Linked DNA regions of Drosophila melanogaster. The protein of the gene in region 1 interacts with the protein of each later gene in a pairwise test. Each region holds a gene or a part of one and is shown in the gene's direction. Other genes may lie near its edges.

Region 1 (7,516 bases):
AGAAGCTAAACTTGCTGGGGAAGATCGGCTGCTTTCTGTGCATACTGGGATCCACCATCATTGTGATTCACTCGCCCAAAGAGAAGGAGATCGAGGATTTGCAGCTGCTATTCGATATGCTTTTGGATCCGGTTTTCATTCTGTACGTGATCTGCATCGTCGGTTCCACGGTGTTTGTGGCCTGCTTCATTGCACCACGGCATGGGCACACCAATGTGGTAGTTTATATCTTCTTGTGCTCCGGCATCGGATCTCTGACTGTGATGTCCTGCAAGGCATTGGGCCTAGCCATACGGCAGACGCTGAATAACGGAGGCAACGTCTTCCTCACATGGATGCCATGGTTCCTGATCCTGGTCACCGTCACTTTCATAGCCATCCAGATGAACTATCTGAACAAGGCGCTGGATATATTCAATACTAGTATAGTTACTCCAGTGTACTATGTAATGTTCACCACCCTGGTGATAGCTGCGTCTGCCATCCTCTTCAAGGAGTTCACCCACATGCGGTTCGATGATATTCTCGGCGATGTGTGCGGCTTCCTGATCGTTATCACAGCTGTGTTCCTGCTCAACGCGTTCAGAGATATTGATATATCGCTGAACGATGTACGTGGACTGATGCGACCGAAAATGCAGCGGGTGTCGCAGTTCGACGAGGAGGTGCTGGTCACCAGCAATACCAAGGAACGGCGGCTGTCCTACGGATCCAGCGACATCTTCCGGAAGGCCTGACACAAGCAGCGCTACCAGGTCTAGTTACATCCCTTGCAGCGGCTGACCTGAAGACAAGGTTGCTTTACTCCGTAAACGAGGCATTGGTCCAAATATCTGTGCATATCACCTGCAATCACTTTCATCTCATCATTTCCATTTATTGTTCCTTCACTCTTGTTATTCATACATTCGCTAGCATAAGCACATAGGTTTAGGTTACACTTACATATATTAAACACGACTTAATGAAAACGATTTGTAATTGTAGTTTTATTTTTTGATTTTTGATATGATATTCGTATCTATGTATTACTAAAAAAAAACCATTAAAATATTCTACTACATTGGTAAATGTAGGTCGTTCCAAATCGAACGACAATATTCATTGCAAATAATGTGAGTACATGCTCAATCGGATTTAGTAAAATAAATCTTCAAGTTATTTTCAAGGTTTGTTAGTTAGTAATTTAATGAAGTATCTATGTATTCTGAATTTCGCCCTTGCTGGTCTTATCTGGATATTTTAATCCGTTCAGCCAGATGCAGTTGCTCAGACTTTTAGCGGTGTGAAATGAGTCATCGGCTGAGTTATCCGGACTGTTCTCCACTGGCGGAAGATCCTTTGGTCTACGAATCTTTCGTGGCGTGAAGAAGTCGCGATCTGTGATTAAAGGAAATCGCTGGCTTTCATTTGGAGCAACCGCAGGTAAGCTGATCTGCGGCTGGAGTGTCAGTGAGTCCTGTTTCAGGGTCATTCTTCCGAAGTTCCGGATGATGGCAATCGCCTCCACGTCCACCATTGTGGTGTCCTCCCAGTCCTCCATTGTGGCGTGCTCTCCCAGCGGCTTGGTGCCAGCTACTCTCTGAATCGTCTCCATCATTTGCAGACTTTGACGAATCTCTCGGCCCTTTCCACCCCGCGTGCCATATCCAAGCAGATCCTCGCGGGCTGTCAAAAGCTCATAGGTATGAATGGGAACGGATTCTGAGAATTCCTCTTTCTTCCTCAGTTCATAGGCGATCTGTCCATGGACCAGATTAAAGTGCGGCTCCAACTGCACCAGATCGTGCTCGAATCGTGATGTGGGAACCCAAGCCATGATGATTTCAGTTGCTTATAGTATTCTCACAGCCTTATTTTCATTTCCCGGAAATGCTTTTCTCAAGTAGACTGCGCAAATATTTTCGAAGATTAGAAATTCAAAATCACACATTCCTATCGATAGCGATAAAAACGTTTAAACGCTTACAGGTGAATCGCAACTTATCGATTGTCAGTCGGCAAATAGAACAATAAACAGTTTTTTAATTAATCCAATTTGGTTTACTTAAGCAATAAGGATGATTTGTATGCGGCTCCGGGTGTTGCGTAATCTCAATCGCAGCGCTTTAAATGGATTTAGAAAAGATTACATCCGATCAACCGGTGTGAATGTCAATTATTCAGCTGTCAACTTTCCGGCCGCCATTAGAACGCTGAAAACTTTTAGCAATTCTATCCTAACCAAGGAACCGAAACCAATCTTTGCATTTATCGCATCTCAGCGGCAGTATTCTTGCGAAAAAGTAGGCAAAACAATGGAGGAGCACTGCGTAGTTCCGGATGTGATCGCCAAGGCACCGGCGCAGACAGCTGTGGTGGAATATCCCGGCGATATTGTCGTGAAGCCGGGTCAGGTCCTGACCCCCACCCAGGTGAAGGATGAGCCGTGCGTGAAATGGGAGGCGGACGCCAATAAGCTGTACACCCTCTGCATGACCGATCCGGATGCGCCCAGTCGCAAGGATCCCAAGTTTAGGGAGTGGCACCATTGGCTGGTGGGCAACATACCCGGTGGAGATGTCGCCAAGGGCGAGGTTCTCTCCGCCTACGTGGGATCCGGGCCTCCACCAGACACCGGACTCCATCGTTACGTTTTCCTGATCTACGAGCAGCGGTGCAAGCTCACATTCGACGAGAAGCGACTGCCCAATAACAGCGGAGATGGACGCGGTGGCTTCAAAATCGCCGAGTTCGCCAAGAAGTACGCCCTCGGCAATCCCATTGCCGGTAACCTCTACCAGGCTGAGTACGACGACTATGTGCCCATCCTCTACAAGCAGCTGGGCGCTTAGTTTCTACGCCAAAAACCATGCTTATATAAGCCAGTCTGAATTGGATTCAAATCTATTGTAACCTAGAAATTAAAGACACCTATGAACACTCTGTGAAACCCTCTGTTGCTGGCAATAAAATTGTTAAAGACATATTAACTAAGCCACTGTATCTTATTACACATTTTCAATATTTTCATATCTTATCTTGTTAATTTGTCTGAAGTAATAATTCGGTTACCCTTTGCTGAGGCAAAACAGTTTCTGTGCTGGTTATGTATTTATTATTCATTCCAATTACAATCTACTTCTTTATCAATAGGATTCTTCTAGCGTCATTTGTATACATACAGATTTCATGAACTTGAGTTTATATCTCGCCAAAATACATGCTTTGAAGATACAAGACATAATTGCTATCGGACCTTCCAAATAGGAAGAACGTTTCTGATCAGTATTATAGTTATTTCCCAGGGCGCAAGAGACGCCCATCTGGGTAAGTTATTTATTTGTAAAAGCATTGCGACATAATTACAATCTACTTCTTAAAGTCAAGAGGATGGTTCTTCATGTGTGCAATAATAAAGGTCTCTAATACAACTAGATGCAGACTCATACAATCCATAAAATAATGCTGAAGAAGAACCCACGCTCTATTTCCTCCTTTGATGGGTCCAGTGCATATTCGGCTGTTGAGAAGGAGGGGAGGTGTCTAGTTTCCAAATTACTTTACTCTATAGAGGGAAAGACAGTGCGATGGTCTTTCCATTCGGTTTCGCTGATTGCCTATAAAAAGCAAGGTCGGAGTTAGTTAGTATGAAATAGGCTGCATGACTATGTTACCAACTTACCACTAGCTCGTCGAAAGCCTGTTTGGCCAGCCAGTGGAAGCATGGACTCTTCCATTCGCGCGCAATCGCCTGCTGATCCTTGACGTCGTCCTCGGCGGTGGACTTGGAATTGGTAATGGCCTTGTACTTGGCCCACAGGAAGACCATGCTGCGCAACTTGTAAACCCACAGGTCATTGGGTATGCCGCGAATAATGTCCTGTATTTCCACCATGTTCAACTCCGTAAGGTTATCCAGGAAGGTGCGGTTCATCAACGTAAAGATCGTCTTCATTGTGTCGTACGGCACGTCGGCATTCTTCTCGAGACCAAAGTGTGCCGACTTTATGATAGCGTAAACCACCTGCTCTGTGGTTAGCTTGGGCAGATTGGGTAGGAAGCAATGCTCTAGATTCAAGTTCCCACACTCCAACAGTTGCTGGTCGATCTCCTCGCCAACATTCTTGTAGTCCTTCCACCAGTTGCCCCAATCATTATATTTCTTCGATTCGTTAAGCGGTGCCCAATCGGACCGTATGCGTTTCCTGTTGCGCTTTGCAATCTTGCGAGCCGACTTGGCGTCGTCGGCCACCGATTCGTCTTCCGAATCTTCGTTGAGCACTACGGCCGCCTCTACGAAGTCCTCCTCGGTGGCGTCCTGGTTTGTACTGTAATTGAAGGTTTGTTCGAAGAAGGTCAAGGCATATGAGTCCGCCTCCGGCTGTGGGAGCTTCTTCGGCTGATCGTTGAGATAGGGAATCTTGAATCCGCCAATAAGGAAACCGCGCTTGCGTGCCACGCGTCGCCATTTCTTGACCGACTTGGAGGCAGCCTCCGTTTCCAGCGGTGGAGGTGGGGCAACACGCTTCTGACCTGCAATGCATAACATATTAGGAACTTGTGTATGGTAAAACTATTCCTAGTTGCTTTGCAAAACTCTACTAAATGAATTGGAATAGTTAGAAGAAAGTTTTGTAATGCAACCTTACGAAATAGAACTGAATCTTACTAATTTGGACGGGGAATCCAGGAGCGTTTGGCGGCCTACTGGGCACTCCTGCTGGTTTGCCTCCTTGTGGTCCACCTTTCACTGCCTGCTGGCCAGTTCTAGGTGCCAGTGGTCCCGACTTCTGCAGCTGTGGTCCAGTTTTCAAGCCCTGTTGTCCAGTTCTCAAGCCCTGTGGTCCAGATCTCAATCCCTGTGGTCCAGCTCTTAATCCCTGTGGTCCAGTTCTTAATCCCTGTGGTCCTGTCCTGTTTGCCTGCGGTCCGGTCTTCACGGCTGGTGCGGCCACCGGTGGCTTCTTGTTGGTAACCGAGACCGTTTTCGAATTGGGTGTTACGTTATTGACTTTATACTGATTTGGTGCTGCAACGGGCAGCTTTTTCTGTACTCCAGTCGCATTGCCCGGACGCAGGTTGGCGGTCTTGTTGTTGCGCAGAGTGGGCGCACCTGCGCTTTTGACGATTTCAGCCTTCTGAGGATTGTTGCGCAAGTTCTGGACCGCCTTAGCGGCTGGCTGTGGAGCTGGCTTTCGAACAGATCCGCTGTTGTTCAGATTCATCTTCTGCAGCTGATTGCGCTTCGAGTTGAAGGCGCGCTGACCAGCTTCCCATCCAGAGCCACCGGAACCTACTCCTCCTCCGCCGCCGGCACCGCCTCCTCCACCACCGCCGCTTCTTCCTCCACCTCCGCCACCACCACCACTGTTCGATTGATAGCCAGAGTTCTGGAACGATGATGATTGTGATTTGTTCCAGTTGTTGCGAGAGTCTTGGAAGGTGCGACTAATGTTGTTGCTAAAGCCGCCTCCGGAATTATTGTTGCCAAAGTTACCACCAGAGTTCGGTTTAAAACCTGGGCCTCCGGATCCTCCGACAGCCGGTCCGCGGTTGTTAAAGTTTCCAATATCCCTATTGTTGTCCCCAAAGTTTCCAGAGTTCTGGCCAAAGTTGTTGCTAAAGCCGCCTCCGGAATTATTGCTGCCAAAGTTGCCACCAGAGTTCGGGTTAAAGCCTGGGCCTCCGGATCCTCCGACAGCCGGTCCGCGGTTGTTAAAGTTTCCTATATCCCTATTGTTGTCCCCAAAGTTTCCAGAGTTCTGGCCAAAGTTGCCGTGATTTCCACTGCGTCCGTAGGAATCATTGAAACCGGAACGCTGGTCATCATAGTTAGGACCTCTGTTTGGGAAATTGTCATTGTTGAAGTTGCGTTGATTGTTTCCTCCAAACGAAGGACCACTGTTTCCACCAAAAGGGACATCGCTTCCTCCAAAGGAAGGTCCACTATTGCCCCCATAAGCGGGTCCATTGTTTCCACCAAAAGAGGGAGCATTGTTGCCGCCAAATGGCACTCCATCGTTGGGAACGAAATTACCGAATGATCCCTGATTTCTGGGTTCATCGTTGAAAAACCTATCGCCGCTTCCCTGCGGCTGGGGACCTCGATAGTTGACATCTGGATTGCAGTCCATACGGTTCTCCACCTCCAGCAAGCGGGCTACGTTGCTCTGATTGGATGCTCCCCTGTTCGCTTGGCCGAAATTGGAGGACGGCCCGCCACGAAATTTGTCCTGGAAATTATCGCCGAAACGCTGGTTGCTGCTCGGATTGAAACCGCTCCGATCTCCGTCTCCGGAACGTGGGTAGCTGTTGTTGCCGCCACTGTTGCTGTTGTTGCTGTAGTTGCCACCGCCGCGACTGAAGTTGCCACCATCTGGGCTGGTATTCCGGTTGACGCCGTAGCCTCCGCCACCGAAAGTGCCACCGTAGCCTCCTCTGCCACTGGTATTGCCGCCTCCGCCGAAGTTGGCGCCGCTACCGCCTCCGCCGTAGTTTGAGGAATACATCCCGCCGCCGCCGCCTCCTCCACCACCACCAACGCCGCTGGAGCTCCCCATTCCGCGCCGCTGGCCAATGCCGTAAGCGTCGTTCTTCATTTGGCGGTAGTCCATTCCGAATAGTCCTTGCCCGGATTTACCTTTACGTCGAGCACTCGCCGCTGCTTCCAATTAACTGGCTTCTCTGCGATTTTTTCCAACACAACAAACGCGGCACAAAAAATGCTTTCCTTTCCCCGAATTTTTCACTGTCTGGTGCCAGGGTTGCAAAGCAATGAAAGCCGGCTGCTCAAAATGGTAATAAGTCCGATTCGAAGTTGGTATTTTTATTGAAAAATACTGAGCGTGATAGAAAAATACCGCTATTGAATTAGTTAGGAATACCTTGCAATAAATTATTATTTATTTATATTTTAAGCATTATGTCAAATGTGATTTGTTATAAACAACATTTGACAAATGTATAATTTCGGTTTTGATTCGGTAATATTCTGAAAGCCATCTTCCAAAAAATTTCTTTAGCAAGATATTTATAGAGAAGAAGCTTACTGTATAATTTCTTTTCACTACTATCGTAGTTAATTAAAGAGCTATATTTTATAGTAATATTTACTAATGAATTGGTTGTATTAAGTATTATATTATATTACATACATACTTACACTTTCACTACCAAAGAAAACACACAACCTGAAAATATTGAATCACAAATTCTTTTGAAAAATGTAGAATAAAACATGAGCACGAAAGTCAAACCAGGAAAACCAACAAAAAAAAAAAACATTACAAAAATCTATGAAAGTTAAATATAAGCTAGCTGTTGCCTCGAAACCGCTTTTTAATCTACACTAGTCGGCATAAGTATTTTGACAAAATAAGCGCAGCACATTTGTCAGTGTGTAAGTAATATAAACTTAAAAATTAACAAGCAAAATTTTTTTTATTGAAACTTAAAAAGATATAAACAACTTAATAAAATATGATGTTTTTTTCTTTCGCAGTCAATATATGATATCATTTGAATATATAGAAAA
Region 2 (8,852 bases), on another chromosome or scaffold:
TGATTAATTGTACATCAACCTAGTACTGATAGCAACCAAAAACGGCAGCAATGCAGATAAAACTGCCACCATCAAAGGTGAAGGTTATGTAGTCATCGGACAGCTCATCCCAAATGGCGCGAGCTCCGTAGAAACATCCGGCTCCGGTCTGCTGGTAAAGCATTACGTTCACAACGTGCTTGAATCTTGGAGAAGAGCCGCGTCCCTTCATCTTAATGTTTATGTCATCGGCGACTTCGCGGGTCCATTTAAGGGCTTCCGATTGATTATAGGTCTTGTTTGCCAGCTTCTCCTTGACCACCTGGGCTATCATCAAGCGAATGTACGGCAATGGGAACTTCTTGCCGAATGCTGGTCCCATGTTGTAGTAGTTATAGATGGTGACATCAGATGCCGGCTTATCCTCATTCCCAGGCTCCCATTCTTCATCCGAGTCACTGTGGGACATTACCTCGGATCGGCTGTCTGCGCTGACCGCGGACGCTCGAAAGGACTCCTTTGCAGTCGACAAGGTTTTGGGTCTTTGTGTCGACATTTTTGCGATATTTTTATCTGTGTTTCGTTCAAATTCCAGATAAACTTCGATTGCAATAAGTTAAGAGAAATAATCAGACAGAACAAATTTTTCATGGCCATCTAGTTTTCCAAAGAAAACACAGTGATTGGTAAATAATAAGTTCAATTTTCGCTTTTTAACCTTTTTTGCAATTATAAAAAAATCTATTGTTTTGTTAGTTTTTTATTTCGCATAAACATATTTTTGTTATTTTTTTTTACACTTTCCATTGTCTAAATGACCCAATTTTTTCTAGTTAAAATATTTCAAAGTTAACCTAACGTTAAGTAGTAACCAAAAGTGAAGATTTAACGAGCTGAATGCCTGTAACGTCGAATACGAGGATGTCGATTGGAGAGATTCTGAATGTAGGTGTCACTACTCTGCTCTTGACTTGAGCGTTCCCTGGCCTTCGGTGTGAGCAAGTCATCGACTGGATTCTGGTTCTGACACTTTTCCATTTCCTCCTTTTTGCGCTGCTGCTGCTGAAGCTCGTGGACTTTTCGCAGGCAGCAGCAGTTCCTGAGCGCATCCATAAAGCACTCTAGATTCCTGCGAAAGATCTCCAGATTCTCCGGAGAAATGGGCGACTTCTCCGCATGACAACACTCATCGATGACCACCTGGGCATGGAATATACACTCGCTAGCCTGACCGAGTGTATTCTTTAGATTGAAGATTTGCTGTTTCTTCTTCAACTGCATTTGAATATAGCGAGTGCACAGCATCTCGAAACGGCGCTGTTCACTCCGGTACTCATCGAATAGCTCGTCGTATTTGGAGTGCAGCTGCTCCGTTTTGCTTTGAAGTACCTTGAGAGCCTTTTCCCTCTTGGCTAACTGCCGACGACTTTGGCGATGGGACACGGAGAGCTCAACGTAACTGAAAATGCGCCAGAATACTTAGTGCCTACATATGTATACCCTTTTCTAATATTGTTGAAAACTTACCGCTGTTGCATCAGCAGTGGACTGATGGAGTCGTACAGCTCACCAATGGAGTTCACATGGGAGCCACTGGGGCCCCTCTTCTCCGGATCGCTCTCACTCGAACTGGAGCTATCGATTCCCCGGAGCAACTGCACCAGTCGCTCGTTTCGCTTCCTTTCCGTGTCCAGTGAAAACACCAGTTCCTGAACCCGTTCTGTCTGCCGATCGAGGGCCATTCGGAGCTTGAACTCCTGCTGCCGATCCTCGTGAATTGTGTGCTCCAGTTCATTCACTAGTCGCAGTATCTGTTGGACGGTCTGCTGGTAGGGATTGGGCTCCTGGTTTTTGTTCAGGCTGGCATCAGTTGAGGCCAGATGATTTTCGCCCAGTGATATGGGCTCGTCCTCTTCGTCCTCCGAGGGAAGTAAGAGACTGGAAACGGGATCCAAATTTGAATTATTTGAAGACGAGCTCGACGTGGAGCTAAGAGGGGCCAGGGGACGACCCAAGTCGCTCTTTCTCGTGACGGTTCCGAAGCCAAGACCGTTGCTCACACTCCTCAGAAGGGTGCTCAGGTTCATCCTTGGTCCTTTCCCACCTCGTGTCGCTGTCGTCGTCGATGTCTCCGTCTTGTCACCTGACTGTAAAAGTACTCAGGTGTGTGCTGCGCTGTGTGCTCGGCTTGTTTGTCACTAAATGACTGCCTACTTGTGCTCGGTACACTACAATAAATAAATATAAAAACAGATACTTTTAGATGCTTTTAAGATATTAGCTTTTTTGTAGAATTGATTCTCTATCAATGTTTAGACTTCTAATTAAACAGCAGGAAGTCAAAAAGTTGTGGTTTCTATTATGAATATAGCAATATTTACTACAATTTAAACAAATTAAATTATGTAAATTTCTTCTTATTGGTTTCTGAAGCTTTTCTTAGATTTTTCCGAGTATACCAACAGCTATCCGAAAGTTGCTGCCTTCCGGGCTCACTTTCCATATGGTATCGCACAACTTTTTAAATTGCTTTCAGTTTTAACACCTTTGCCTTCAGTTTTCCCGGCACTCAATCAAAGTTGTCGTTACTCCGCCACCGATTTCATTCCCTCGCATATGTTCTGAAGGCTTTTCCCGACTTTTCCCAACTGCCTTCACAGCTTTCCTCTGGTGTTTGTTAGTCGTGCGTAAATTGCCATTAGCCAAAAAGGGTTGCCAAGACTTGATACACTTATTGCATTTTTATGGGCCAAACTTTTGTTGTTTTTTCCTCAGTTTTTCCATTTTTTGGTTTTGCTGACATAGAGAGTTGCATGTATCCTTGATTAAGAGCGATACATACGTATTGTAAACTTGATTGAGGCAATTTTGCAATCGGTAAAGATTGTGGAGAATACTCGAGAGTTGCCTTTACGTCATGGGTTTCAGTAAAATCCTTGATGATGTTTTTGCACCAAGTAAAAAAATTTATTGTAGTAAATTGCAGCATATTAACTAGATTTAACTAGATATACAAAGGTTATAGTATCGCTGCTATTGACAATTAATTATACGAGGTTCACTTAATTTTCCGACTGCTACTATGACAGCTACCGGATATAATAATCCGATTTTATAGTTTATATATTTCATAATTTATAATAAAATATGAATATTCGTTCTTTTAATCCAGACTGAACCGCTTTTTGAAAGGAAGTGGAAAATATTTTGTACAATGGTTGCTTTTGAGTTTGTAAGAGTTTATAAAAAACTAATAGTCGCCGTAAAATTCGTCAAATCAACCCAAATATAAATCCTAATCAAAAATGAAATATTTTTTTTTGGATATGCTTATTTCACATCTTTAAATCCATTCAGCGATTTCAATGGAGTGTTGGAAGACTCAGCCGCAGCTCTTATCTGGGTTCCTTGGATGCCCATCATCACAATTTCCTGATAGTTTCTATTTTTTAACATTGTTTCGAGCTTGTTAAGCAATTCCCATTATTCAATGGCCTACCAAATTATTTTAAAATTACACTTCCTTAAATTTCGTTGATGAATTATTATTAAAAATGCTGGAAGTAAGTAATAGAATTAAATCTAATCTGTGAAGACTGATAAGGCCGTCTAAGATATCGCTTAGGTAACTGCATTTGTAAGCTTTTATTAAACAAGAAAGATTTACTCCACGCTCTTGTTTGCATTCAAAAAACGTAAACATTTTTATTTTCTCTTAGCTGCCCGTCTTTCTCTTTTGGCTCTCTTCTTTTCACTTATTGTCTTTTGTAACAGCTGAGCCATCGCTTGGAATTTTCCTCAGTAAAGCTCCGTTAGCGCTGGCGGCTGGCCGCTTCCAAAAAAAATTCATTAGAAAGTTGTCACAAAAAATTTGTTATTAATATTAATCAAAATTCAAGCAATTAAGATAATGGCTCGGTTAATTTCGGGAGTTCGCAATTTGTTCCATCGATATCCATTCGTCACCAACAGCGCCATCTATGGGAGCCTTTATGTGGGCGCCGAGTATTCCCAGCAATTCGCATCCAAACGCTGGTTGGCCGTAAGTAAAATCATTTACAGACACTCATGTGCAGAATATGAGCTTGGAGATATATCCGAGGGCGATCTGGCGATTTCTAATCCTATTTATGTGCCCCGTAGACGGCGAGCAAACCTGAGGATATCGATTATGCAACAATAGGAAGATATGCCGTGATGGGTACTGCAGTATATGCCCCAACACTTTACCTTTGGTTCGTGCCCTCAGTTTTATGAATCTGTACATACATAGCCACATTTTATTATTACTTGCACATGTACACAGTGATGGTCGACATAGTAGCTCTGCTTTTTTGTTTGATTTCTAATACAATCTGTTTATCATGAAATCTATAACTTTTCATTATAATTTCTTATTTCTAAATTTCTGATTTTATGTTATGACTAAAAAACGACACTTTAGAGCAAAAACAGTCAACTTAAAATATTAGTATATAAATCGGAGCTATTACGTTGGCCGAGGCTGTTCATACTAACACATCTGTGGACCATTCAATTTACTCACACTTACATGCTTGCCATTTAACCATTCTTTTTATTTCCTCAATTTGCTTCGCCGTACGCTTCTGTTGTTGTTTTTGACTTTTATCAATTTGTTTACGATTCCGGTAAAGCTCCATGAGCACGTGTCGCAAGTCAAGAGCATGTCTCTCCGCCATTTTTATCACTTTCTCTTCACACTTTCTCTTTAGAAGCACCCACGCCACCAGAGCACCAAGCTTTTCCTCTTTAATTGAGTGAGAGGGAAAAGCTGCCCAGAAAAGCACGCAACGCACTGAGAAATTGGGCATATTTGCACGACATAAAAGTCAAAATGCAACGTAAGTTTGGGAAGTTGGAAGTTGGCTACTGGGGATCTGGATTCGAAAAACAAAACTTACAAAAGAAAACAAGATGCACACAAGGATATACAAACATAGGGAATAAAGATCTCGGAATATTATAAATACATATCACAAACACATACACAATGTATGAAACACTTACACATAAATAAATACTAACACCATAAATTGATTACAAATATGCAAACACACTATATAAAGTAACTCCAAAAGCACTATATATACACCAAAAAAAGATCTTGCTTACCTAGCCTGCTTTAGCTTTTACTTTGATGTCTTAAATATAATCAAGCATATATATCAAGCATAATAATTCAAATAATCAATTTCCTAGGTACAAATGGTTAGATCGCGCTTTTCCTGGCACCACTAAGGTTATCATAGTTAAAAAATTAGTGCTTGATCAGTTTGTACTAACGCCTTATCTATTGACTGTGTTTTATGCAGGTAAGTTCCACTGATACACTCAAATGTAAAGATTAATTAATGTATATTAAATTAATAATACATTTTCATGTTTATTTTTGTACGCTTAACACATGTTCTCTGTTATTTGACAATTAACAAACTAATTTCTATTTCCAGGCATGTCCATCATGGAGGGCTCTGCGGATATTTTCCTGGAACTCCGCGAAAAATTCGTGCCGACTTTTATGCGTTCCTGCATTTTCTGGTTGCCCGCGCAGGCCTTGAACTTTTCCCTGGTTGCACCCCGATTCCGTGTCATCTATATGGGTATTTGTGGATTGATTTGGGTGAATATTCTATGTTGGACCAAGCGGCAAAGTCTTCCAGTCGCAACGAAAGAAATTGCAACTGATTCAAATAATAATGCAGCTGCCATAAGGAATTCCGAAACATGAGATTTGAATATACACCATACACCATAACCATGTATATAGTCCTAGATAGTTTTTGACCATGCATTGCCAAATAAAGGAGAAGCAAATAGTGTGGTAGACTTATTTATTTAACCTGATTGCAAAGCGTTCGTATACAGTGCGTATGATTGATGTTCCCATAAACGGAAACTCATCAATTACTACTTACCCTCTATTCATCTATTTCTGTGAGTGCGAGCTTGTGTGTGTGTGTGTGTGTCTGCTGTTTATCAGCGTGTGTAAGCGCGTTAAATTGTGTGCGTGTGTGCGTAAATGTTTCCATCAACATTTGCCACACTCAAACAATAAAGAACTATCCTGCGTATCCCGCTGGACTCCGTGCACTGAACTCCCTAAACCAAAATTTATGTGACATATAACAAAAAATTCAATTTTTTAAAATTATCCCTGTTTTTGGTTCAAACATAACCAGGTGCGCTTCGTCACTACGTGCACTGCTATCCATAGTAGTAATCAGGTTTCGTCACTTATAAGAGCTTTTGTATGTTTAAGTGGGTTTTGCCTTAACATTTACATTAGATATTGTTCCCTAATTTATGTCTCTTGTTCAATGGCAGCTATCCGTGGCTAAATGCATTGTAATTCCCCGATCGCATTAACTTTTTGCCTAATTATTGCTCATCTCTACCATCTCGGCCGACTGATGCCCATGACCCCTGACCCACGAGCTTACGGAGCACCCAGCAAAACTAATTAGACGTGGCGTGTTTCGGCTGCCAACTCCCTTCGATATCCGCCCCATGTTAATGCGTTGAGTGTGTGCGTCTGTTTAACTTATTGTTGTCTATTTAAATTGCAATTTGTCAATATGCGTGTGTGTTGTAGTTACCGCACGCCCATCTGAGGCCACCTCCTTGTTTTTCCTCACAGTTTTCCATTTGCACTGAAAGAAATCGTAGTAATATAAAGCATTTGATAGCAAGCTAAACAAAATTAAACATGTCCTCAAAATATGTACGTTAATGAAGTAGTATTATATTATATCTATATCTTGTTTTAAGGGCAAATAGTATCCCTACGAATAAGATATATCAATAACTCCAAATTCAATACACTCTGAGTTTTATATAGCTTACATTCTATGAAGTTACCAGCACCCATTTTTCGCTGTGTAGGCAGTCTTACAATTAAACTTCTTGTGCACTCATTAACAGCACATAACGTTGGCCCAGCCTGTGTCCAGGCTGAATTTGCTAAACTTGGCAGACATCGTAGCTCCAGTTCAAACCGACCCTCTTAGTTCCCATTTCCCAAGAACTCGACTTGGCCAGAAATGCGTCTACTTCCTTTTGGACCGCCTGCAAAGGTCCTTTTCCCACTCCTTTGACTTTGACGTCTTCGCTGGATTCTCTAGGTTGCTGCTGCTGGTTCTTGGTTCGTTTTTTGTGTGTGTTTCTTTTTTTTTTTTATTTACATCCGCTTGTTTGTTCAAAGCGGAAAATTAATTCCATCTTGGCTTGTTTCCGTTTATCTTGAAAAAGTATTTCGTCGTCTTTTCGCTTTATACCGTAGACCGCCTCGCCCCTTCAACGCCGCCCCACTTTGTTTTACTTTTATTTTCGACAGCCTGCTGACCAGCTGAAAACTGCTTTTCCTACTTTATATTTGTGTGTGGAGCCGGGGCCAGGGACTATTTACTTCATCTACTCGTTCTGGGCAGATTTTCGGGTGCTTTCTTGGTCCGCTACAGAAATTAAGGGTATTTGCGGTTAACCAAGAATTCAAAACTGTTTTCTAAAAATTTTAATATGCACACTAATCTGTAGTTTACTTTAAAAATTAACTAATAATTTAGTTTCAAACACGTTTATTTGGGATTAATATATTTAGAATTCAATCCTAGCTTATCTTGCGTGAATATTAGAAATTATCTTAAAATTATTGCGATTATGCAAACATCATTTAACTTACTTCTGCAGAACTTTCAACTTTATATATTTATACAGAAGAAAAAAAATAAAAAAAAAATTTTCAATTAGAGCATACAGAGTTCCGCGTCCAATCGCCATTCGTGTTTGGCTTTCCACTCTTGTTTTGTTTTGCTTTGGCTGTTTGCCTTGGGTGGGCGGTGGATCCTTGGCCCCGCCCACTTCCTGTCGCTCCGGCCATCGTGGCGTGAAACTAGCGCGTCGCCCACCACACGTACATTAAATTAAAAATTAATTTACAAAAATAAACAGAGTTATGCCAGAGGAAGCGTCTCCCGTGCGATACCGACCATAAGAAGCTAATACTAATGCTGCTTCATTTGATTCAATTACCGGAAGCAGTCCGTCCAATCTGTCCGTCCGTCCGTCTGTCCGGCGGAACAGAGCGGAGCGGATCGGAACCGCCGGGCCCTGACGCTCCTCGGAAATTTTCGTGTTTGTCTTGGGACACGCGGCAGGAAGTTGGCTGGCTATCCAGCTATCTGAGTATCTGGGCATCTGGGCATCCATCCTGCTCCAAGGACTTGTCGTAATTACCGCACAAGACAAATAGAAAAATGGCGTAAAAACGAGAAATTAATCAACGTTTGGCGCCCCGGCCCACCGCCACTCGATACACATATAGATATATATAGTCCTGTTCCATCAATCCAACCTGATTGCGATTTGATGTGAAGCGCTTGGCAAATATGACAGTGAACCAAATGTCCAGTGATAGCTATTTGAAATGAAAATGTAAAGTGTGAATTTGACGGTGCGGAGTCGCAGGACTTAACAAAACTAATTTTTTGGCATATTTTTTTTTAAATTTAAAAAAAGATATGGTTTTATTTTGCTTTTAATATATCCATAATACTTTCTAATACTATCTGCTGATGATTAAACTAACTATGATACTTTCTTAAATTCAATTAGCTAAACAATAAAGTGTAACACTTTATACGTTAAGAATATATATTTTATTTTTGCATTTTTCTTCACGTCTATTTCCTCCGAAGTAGGCTTAACATATGTGCCACTATTAATTTTCTTCTATTTATTAGCTTGTTACTTGATTTCCAAACTCCTTACAATTAAGGCTTAATTTACACTTGAAAGGGTTAATTAGTGTTAGACTTCATTTTGGATTACAGGGACTTCCGGTGCCTTTGTTGCCA
Region 3 (8,462 bases), 6.7 Mb from region 1:
CGCTGTGCTTTAGCTGAATCTTCAAAGAGTAAGCAAAAGGCATTTGTTAATGTAATATTAATATTAATAACTAATATTCCGAGCCATTGCCTTAGCTACTATTAATCACTCGTCCTGCGTTCTACTAAGTAAAAAAAAAACCAAAGCTACTAGCAGAAGACTACAGTACCCACCCAGTTAACAGTTGCTATTAGTATATTAGTAATATTATGTTCACGTTTTTTTTTTAATTGTTATAATACCAAATAAGATAGATGGCACCCAATATGTTTAATGGCCTCTTAATAACGGGGATGGTTGTGCGTTGGCATGTGATGCCAATGCTGCTGATGCTGCTGTTCAACAATTTTTTATTAATGAATGCGCACTGTACCCACGGTGAAAAAAAAAAACAAAACGCGCGCCCGCGCATTGCGTAAATGCCGTCCAGACAAACGCTGCAATGGAATGGGACTTGGCCAACATGGGAAATGGTTGGGTACGTCAAACAGAAATAACTGCAGATAAATTGAAAAACGTCAAACTAAGTATTATTTTGCCTGGTGCTACTGTACTGGGAACAGATTTTCAGCACACTTTGAAATACATAACAGCCCTGTCTCTTTGGCGGCAACGCTTGGCGTGCGCCGTCTGTTGCGTGAGTGTGCGTGTTTATTGGCGTTTGCCGGTAGTCACCGCTATTTATTATTTCTTATTAAGGTTCTTCGAGGGGTTTCACTTTATAGTAAACAAATTCAGGCCTACATACGCGCTCCGCGCTACAAAATCAAAAAACTATGGTTTTTAAAGGCCCAAAATTAGCTAAATGTCTATACCGGTATCGCCATTTTTAATTTGCAAGCGACGCCACCGAAAAATTGCTATATCCATCATATTAAAGGATTAATTAGACAGGGCTCTTAGGTTCTACGGTACAGCCAATTCTACGATTATGATTCAGCACTTTCTGCTTACCTGGTTAAAAAATTGCCAAGTATTTGTGGCCTTTTCTTGCTGCCGCCGACAACCGAAGTGCGGCAAAACTCTATGTTGCAGGCGATACACGAGGCGGTGCACTACAATTTTCGACTTGTACGTGCCCCACGCGTCTGCTGCCTTTAGCTAAAACTTGTACAGTTCTCAACTAACTATTAAAATACGCACAGCACATTTAACAACTTTTCACAACCGACAACAAATGAGAAGTATTGCTGGTTTTAGAGCTGGCAAGGCGCACAAATCGATGTTTGAATGAAATCGCTATCGATAAGTCCCATAACAGTGTTGTTTGGGTTGGTGCATACGCTCATTGTGAACAGGGCTAAACTAGTAACTGCGGTCGGTGACTCCGCTAAAAGCGTGATCGCCAAAATCACGGTTTTTTAGTTCTATCTCAATCACGTGATGAGTTAAGCAACAGTTAATTCTAAAAAATTCGAAGGTAATAAATAATAATAACATTTTTGGGGTTAAATTCTTTTTCGAGTCGAAAGTAGGGGTTTTAATTATTCCAACTAACATTTCTTCTATTTTTTACATTATAAATCGGCATTGAAATAAATGTAAAAAAGATAAAATATTTCGATCTAAATGCAAATTATCAAAAATTTAAGACAAAGTAAAACCATTAAGAAATTTATCCTTTCATATGCTTAGTATTGTATCCCACATCAATGTGATATACAGCAATTACTTAAAATGAAATGAAATGAAAAATTGCTGCTAAAGTTGCATTTGTGCAATTAAATTTCGCACCGTTGAAGTGAAGATTGCTTTTCAATTAACCACCTGGTAATATGAATATTCCAAAGCCAAGACCATGGCTACAAGAGAACTGGTTTTCTTTCTGCCATTTTGCCTGACCTTGCCCAACACGACGTCATAAAGGGGCATGTCCCTCCCCATCCCGTTGCGATTTTCATTCCGGCTCAGAAACATGTTTTGAATAGTGCAAACAAAATATAAAGATTCTGGATTCATCCGAGTTACTCGGAATTTCTGCTTGGGTAATGGAGAACCCTTCACGCAGTGACGTCACCGGAGCTCATTGAACTTGCACAGCATCGAATATCGTCCAGAAATATTCTCTACTCCTCCAAATCTGTTGATTCTCGTTTGACAAGCATCAGCAAAGATCTCTCAATATGCGGAGTGCAGTTTGTACCCTGCCAAATTGGGAATTTCAGCTGATGCATGGGAAAATTGTGAACTAGCGGAGTTAAGTGCAGTTTATTCCAGGATACTATTAGCAAGTTGAACAAGATGTGAGCTAAAACTCCTAAGATTTGGTAAGATAAAAAGATAAACATAAGTACTACAATTAGCAATTAGTTTCTTTTTTTTTTTTTTGAATAAATTGTATGTATATGTATTGTTAATCAACAAATTTTACTTAATTGCGTTTTTAAGGGTGTTTGCATCGTCGTTTCATCGAGCTGGCTCTCCCTATTTTCAGATGCTGGTTTCTCGTTCTCGCATACTGGTTTATAGTCATAAGTGCTGCGCTTTTTCTCGACTTTTTCCATTGAGACTTGTGTTCATAAAATCTTCTGTTCTAAGCGATCCCCAGCTCAGTTTCATTCCAAGCTTCTGCGATGCCACTTGTGTGCGATCTTCGTTAAGTCGGATTCCCCGTACTGCAAGCTGGAAAAAATAGAAACCGTGACCAGAAACAGTAACCGCCACTCGGATTGGATTATTACCTGGTAATGAAAGTGAAGACCCCGAGCTAATGGGGCGATTTAAACAGGTGTTTAAAGGTGCAGGTGGGGCTGTGAAATAATCGCTTATTATCAAACACCCTAATGGGGGGCACTATTATTGTGATTATCTTGGGATTATCAAATCCATGTAGACAATTAACGACAACAATGGCGAGTTCATTAACACTTGAACCGAACTACGAGTATGTATGTGCTGGGACTTAAGCACTGCAATCAGGCGTACTTAAAAGTGCATAATGTGTAATTAGTTGGAATTTGTTGAATATGATTAAATATTGACCCAGGCACTTTGCACGGCCACCACGTGTGAAATTTGTGTGTGCTGCACTTTGAGATCGCGGTGGCATCATCTCACAGTATCTGCCAAATACGCGTCGAACTCACACAACGCTGCACCGCACAGACCCCAAGCGACCCGATTAGCCATTGGCGAACTGGGAACGCGGCGGATAATGCCTTATCAGGCAGTGGCTCCTCTACAATCGCGGGGTTCACTGGGGGCAAGTTTGGGTCTGGCTCTGCGTTTTGGGGTGTAGGGATAGGAATTGGGAAATCCGGCCAAGGCCAGGTCGAGGTACACCTAACAAGAGCACATATTTTGGGGCTGATGCTGAACACTATGCAATTCCAAGATTAAGCTAGCAATGTAACAATCGGTACTAACCCCCAATTAGTATATATTTATATTATATATATATATATTATTATATTATATTAATATATTTTAAATGATTTTAAAAATTTTAATGATTTCATTTTGCATACATTGTTTTGAAAGTGTACCTACCTAATGTATTGATTGCTGGAAACAACCAACCCAAAGGCAATGTTTCTAAAAACTAAGTGCAGCCAAAACTGAGTAATTGCACAACACTTTACTTATACTATATTGTTTATAATTCTTGTGGATTCCCGCTCCATCAATTAAGTACAGCAGATTCACTAAATTTAGCTCGAGCTCAGTGACACACTGTTATCACTCATCGGCTGTCTCCTTCGCGCTATCGCAATGTTCATTGTTGTTCGGTTTCTAGTTAATATTTAATGGTCGCATACACACTCGTACATGTTTAGCGACAAGTAAAACAGCATTTCGCCTGGGACTGTCACCACTTGGCCCGATTCTGGTTCCGATCGGGGGCTCAGTTTCACACTTGGAGTCGAGCGGATCACAGCCCATAAATGGTAACAACGAGAAATTCATCCAGCAGTGACATGCCAAATCTCTCTGAAATTTAAATGTCAATACGGGTGGCGAAATGTTGCTAACAACGAAACAATCGGGAACAGTCATATTGCGCTATTCTCAACTGGATTTATTTTTATTTACATTTTGCGCGAGTGAAAAGCGCTTATCAATGCACCACCCCCTTATGGCCACATTGTATCTATAGTTTGGGCTTTTTTTAGACGACCAGCAGTGGATGCCGCACCATGCCCACCATCGAGCACAAGCTAAACATCACCGAGGAGGAGGTTCCGGAGCACATCCGCCGACTTGCCCAGGAGCAGGGAGAGTGTCCCAGTTCCAAGGATAAGGTCATCGAACAATTCCGTAACTACATACTAGGTTGGTTATAGTCCGTTGTCTAAGAGGTACAAAGGTATTCATCTGAACAAAACCTCTCCAGAACATAATGAATGCCAACCACACAGAAGTGATGCGAAGTACCTGGAGAAATTCCTAAGAGCCCGCTACTGGAAAATCGAGAACAGTTACAAATTGGTAAGAAAACTTGGGGAAATCTTCATTTTAGTTTGCCAACAGCAAGTGACTATTTGATAATTATCTATTAGGTAAATGCAATAACTCATTCCCTTTCAGCTCTGCAGTTACTACAGGTTTCGGGAGCAGAACAAAAGCTTTTATGAGAAGGTTCGTCCTCTGGACCTGAGACATGTTGGGCAATCGGACATCCTGACAGTGACTCCCTATCGGGATCAACATGGCCATAGGATACTCATCTACCGATTCGGACTGTGGCGACCCAATCAAGTAACCGTCGACGATATATTTCGCGCCACCATTGTCCTGCAGGAACTGGGCAGCCTGGAACCCATCTCACAGATTGTCGGAGGAGTGGGAATATTCGATCTGAAGGACCTGGGCTTGGAACACATACTCCACCTGAGTCCCAGCGTGGCTCAGAAGATGATTGCTCTACTAGTGGTAGGATAACTACTTTTTATTATTTTCAATAGCTTTTTTAACCTACACTTGGCTTGCAGACCTCCATGCCCATTAGAACATCCGCCCTTCATATTGTAAATCAGAATTGGGTCTTCAACGCGGCATTCAAGATATTTAAACCTTTCCTCAACGCCGCTATGCGAGAAAAGCTATACATCCATGGCAGTGACATGACTTCCCTGCACAAACACATCAACCCAGAACATCTTCCCAAGCGGTAAGTAAAATGGTTTTTTTTTTTTATTAAAATAATTAGTCAGATATAATTAAACTTATACTATTTCAGCTATGGTGGCTTGCACGAGGACTACTCTTATACGCTCTGGTTGGATATGCTGAAGGAGCAGTGTTCGGGCAATAGTATCCAAAAGGATATGGAGCAATTGGGATTCATCTTTGACTAGGCTTCATGCCTTGTTTAAAATGATATGCTTGATACTTGTATTTTTGTACTACATATATGTTAAGTAATGATACCAGAATCAATTGAAGCAAAGTAGGTGATATTTTAAATATTAAAGAATTTCGAAAATTACTTCTACGCAATATTACTCACCAAACAATTCATTTGAGTTTCGTTCCCAACAATTTGAGGTTAGAAGCGGCATAAACCGTAATGCTTCATACATTTGGCGGTCACATCAATGACCCATCGGCTATCACGACCAAATTCGGGGCAAAAGGCAATAATAATTTGTTCCTAACCGAATCAAATGGCCCGGCTAGCCCGCAAAACATTCGTTTCGGTTAGGATGTATAGCATATTGGTCCTTTGAGTTTTATGCGATTCGTATGCAAAATGCGTTAGGTGCTAGAGCGAGACAACTGGCCACACGACCATTCGCCGTTATGGTAATTGAGTGTTGGACAACGCATAAAATGCAGTCGGTAGCCATAAATATGTTTGCACTCGTCCTGTCACCGGATGTGAGCGAGAGGGGAGATCGAGCTCGACGAACAGAAGGAGGGTGCTGGAGATTTCGATTCCTCCATCTGACCGTTGCGAATATGTTTGATATTTTTTATTGAATCCCGTTGTCTCAACGCTATCCTCCGACCCCCGGAAGTCATTGCCGTCTGCGTAAAAAACGGTAAAGAATTACTTTCTCGACTTAAAGTTACTCTGTATTGTCAATTAGGTTTCATGGTTAAGATTTAGAAATTTATATATGGTTACACCCAAAGCTTCAGAGTTTAGAGCATATACTATATATAAACTGAAATTAAGTATATATAATTAAATGTTTGCTTTCGGTTAAAAGTATATTGCTTCACAAATTTTTTTCGTCCAAGTGCAGGGTGTCCAAAGTCAGAATCCTGCCCCCTCTATTCTCCGCAATGGCCTTGCTTTTCCGTTTGGTCAACGATAGTGAAATTGATTTCGGTGCTACCGGGGGTCTAGGTTGGCATTATGCGTATTATGTGTATGTGGCTCGATTGTGGGGATGGGGGTGGCCATAATCTGTGTGCGTGCTGGACAGCTGTGTGAGTGCGTATAAAGGACAGCGACATTTGTGCGATTAAAGCGACAAGATTAAAAAATTTATTGCGCAAATATTTATGGGGGGACAGTAACACAGTGGCAGTCAGAACGGAAAAAACATTCGGACAAAAAACACACATCGCATAGCCTACATTTGGGGGGCACGACCGATGCGCGTTATTAGTTGGCTTTTTGGCATTTCGGCTTTTGGCTTCTGGCTTCTGGCAACACGTGTGTGAGGCGAAACCGAGCTGGACATAATTTATGGCTGGCAAACTGAATTTATTCGAGTTTTATTGAAAAACAAAGAAGGCGGTCAGAAGGGGCAAAGGATTCGTTTTCTTCAACATGTGCTGTCTTTTAAGTAGCCAATGTCTTGGGGATTTCGAGATACACATAAATATATCATTCCGAGGACGACAGAAATCTTTTTGACCAGTAACTAAAGGAAAGTCATTACAAATTGAGCAAACGAGTATCCAAAACCATTTAAAACCACTTAGATAGTTCGCTGGATTATTAACTTTAAAGGGAACCATAGTTGGTACTTGTTTGATTTCTAATTAGTGTCATTGTGTGTCTCTTCTATTAGTATGCTCTGAACTCAATTTACTCTTGAAATAACCTCCGATTTATTATTCCGTAGACATGCAGAAAGCCAAATTCCCCAAAGAACTTCCTCAATTCGAACTCATCTGCTTCCGCATCTCACTTCCGAAATTGGCCATATTATCCAGGAGACACATTTGAGGGCGTTCCCCGGCTGTCAACTGTCACCGAAGGCAGTGTCAAACTGACAGTCGTTGACATCCGTTGACAGTGTACCTGACCTCAATTTTTCCCTCTCTCCCAGAAGATATGTTTGCAACCCTAAACGGATAATTGCTTCCTAATGAGCTGGCAAGGGTGACCCCGACCGAATCAACCCCTCACTCACACCCCGTTTGGGTTTCCTTATCACCGAAGGCGGTTTATCACGCGGCGATTGGCAGGCAGATCCCAGGCCAAAAGCAAAACACAATAGGAACAAATAAATTATGTCCAGCGATTTGTAAACAAACATCAACTGTGCCGAACGGGGGTCAATTTCCCACTGCCCCGCGAAGTGAGGATTGTTCGGGCTTGGGGGATTTCCATAAATAAGGACCAGGCCAGACCAGTATAATTGAAATATTCGCTGTCAATTTGTTGACTCCGGAAGACGACGACTCCAGGCCCGAGGCGAAGGTGTAAGCTGCATAAATGGTGGATCGTTATGGTTCTGTTGCCACAGACACCGATTACCACAGGTCCTGCCGCAGGACGAAGTATGTTTGCTCGGCGAAGGACCTCCCAAGTGATAAATGGTTGCGAAATTTATTTACTTTGCACTACCGACTGCCAACTGTGTGTGTGCCAGAGAAAATTATGTGTGATTATGAGCTATTGAAACATCATAGGGACATTTTGTGTTTAGAATTTGCTTTTAAAAAATAAATAGGAATTTCTTAAAGCGAATAACTTTTTTACTTGATTAAATAGTTTTGTAGAATTTAATTTCTATGTTTTTTAAAAGGCCAACATTAGGTTAAGAAGTATGTATGTTTCCTAGAAATAAAGGTTGCTAGCTAGCCTTTTGGACGAGAATTTTTGCTTTTAAATGAGTGATTTTGAGTCTCATCCTAAAATTAAAACTGGTGCACATGCACTAACTTCCAGTCTATCTTGATCCTCCGTCACAAGTCATTAATGCTGTATTGGAAAAGTAGGAGCATAAATCGCGTAAAAACTCATTGTGCAACAACACAAAGGAGACCCCCAATGGAGTTGCACTCCCGCTGAGATATGTGGATGGAAAGTGAGGTGGTGGCTGGTTTTCCACCGGGGTACGGAAGGTAAATTGACGTGAACATGTCAACGTTATTTGCCATTTCAAAATCGATTTTTTGTAGATTCACCAGGAGACGCTCGTGATAAAACACGACTATACTTCGTGCTTAAAGTGCACTTGAGGCGATGATCTGCGGGATTCCGGGGGCGATGGGGATGGACTGTCGGGTACAATCAATCACATCACCACATGGCAGGATGGCGACCACGTTAGAGC

The links. Proteins that work in one complex are often made in the same cells at the same time.
Region 2: the proteins of CG6180 (region 1) and CG12355 interact in a two-hybrid assay, tested with the Drosophila melanogaster proteins (one large-scale study listed by BioGRID).
Region 3: the proteins of CG6180 (region 1) and CG10026 interact in a two-hybrid assay, tested with the Drosophila melanogaster proteins (one large-scale study listed by BioGRID).

Annotation. Positions count from the first base shown.
Region 1 is NT_033779.5:12,705,711-12,713,226, forward strand, and holds CG6180 (uncharacterized protein), read left to right. Parts: upstream 1-1,950; 5' UTR 1,951-2,060; coding exon 2,061-2,834; 3' UTR 2,835-2,970; downstream 2,971-7,516. Other genes in the region: spict (spichthyin), read left to right, coding at 1-737; CG15484 (uncharacterized protein), read right to left, coding at 1,199-1,819; CG5787 (uncharacterized protein), read right to left, coding at 3,543-3,599, 3,665-4,515, 4,652-6,596.
Region 2 is NT_037436.4:15,489,929-15,498,780, reverse strand, and holds CG12355 (uncharacterized protein), read left to right. Parts: upstream 1-3,231; 5' UTR 3,232-3,542; intron 3,543-3,776; exon of another isoform or gene 3,777-3,878; 5' UTR 3,879-3,889; coding exon 3,890-4,021; intron 4,022-4,122; coding exon 4,123-4,214; intron 4,215-4,503; exon of another isoform or gene 4,504-4,841; intron 4,842-5,199; coding exon 5,200-5,312; intron 5,313-5,450; coding exon 5,451-5,728; 3' UTR 5,729-5,817; downstream 5,818-8,852. Other genes in the region: CG7276 (uncharacterized protein), read right to left, coding at 20-535; CG13455 (uncharacterized protein), read right to left, coding at 865-1,438, 1,507-2,066.
Region 3 is NT_033779.5:19,452,297-19,460,758, forward strand, and holds CG10026 (uncharacterized protein), read left to right. Parts: upstream 1-3,381; 5' UTR 3,382-3,884; coding exon 3,885-3,887; intron 3,888-4,112; coding exon 4,113-4,272; intron 4,273-4,333; coding exon 4,334-4,428; intron 4,429-4,527; coding exon 4,528-4,872; intron 4,873-4,931; coding exon 4,932-5,110; intron 5,111-5,179; coding exon 5,180-5,297; 3' UTR 5,298-5,427; downstream 5,428-8,462.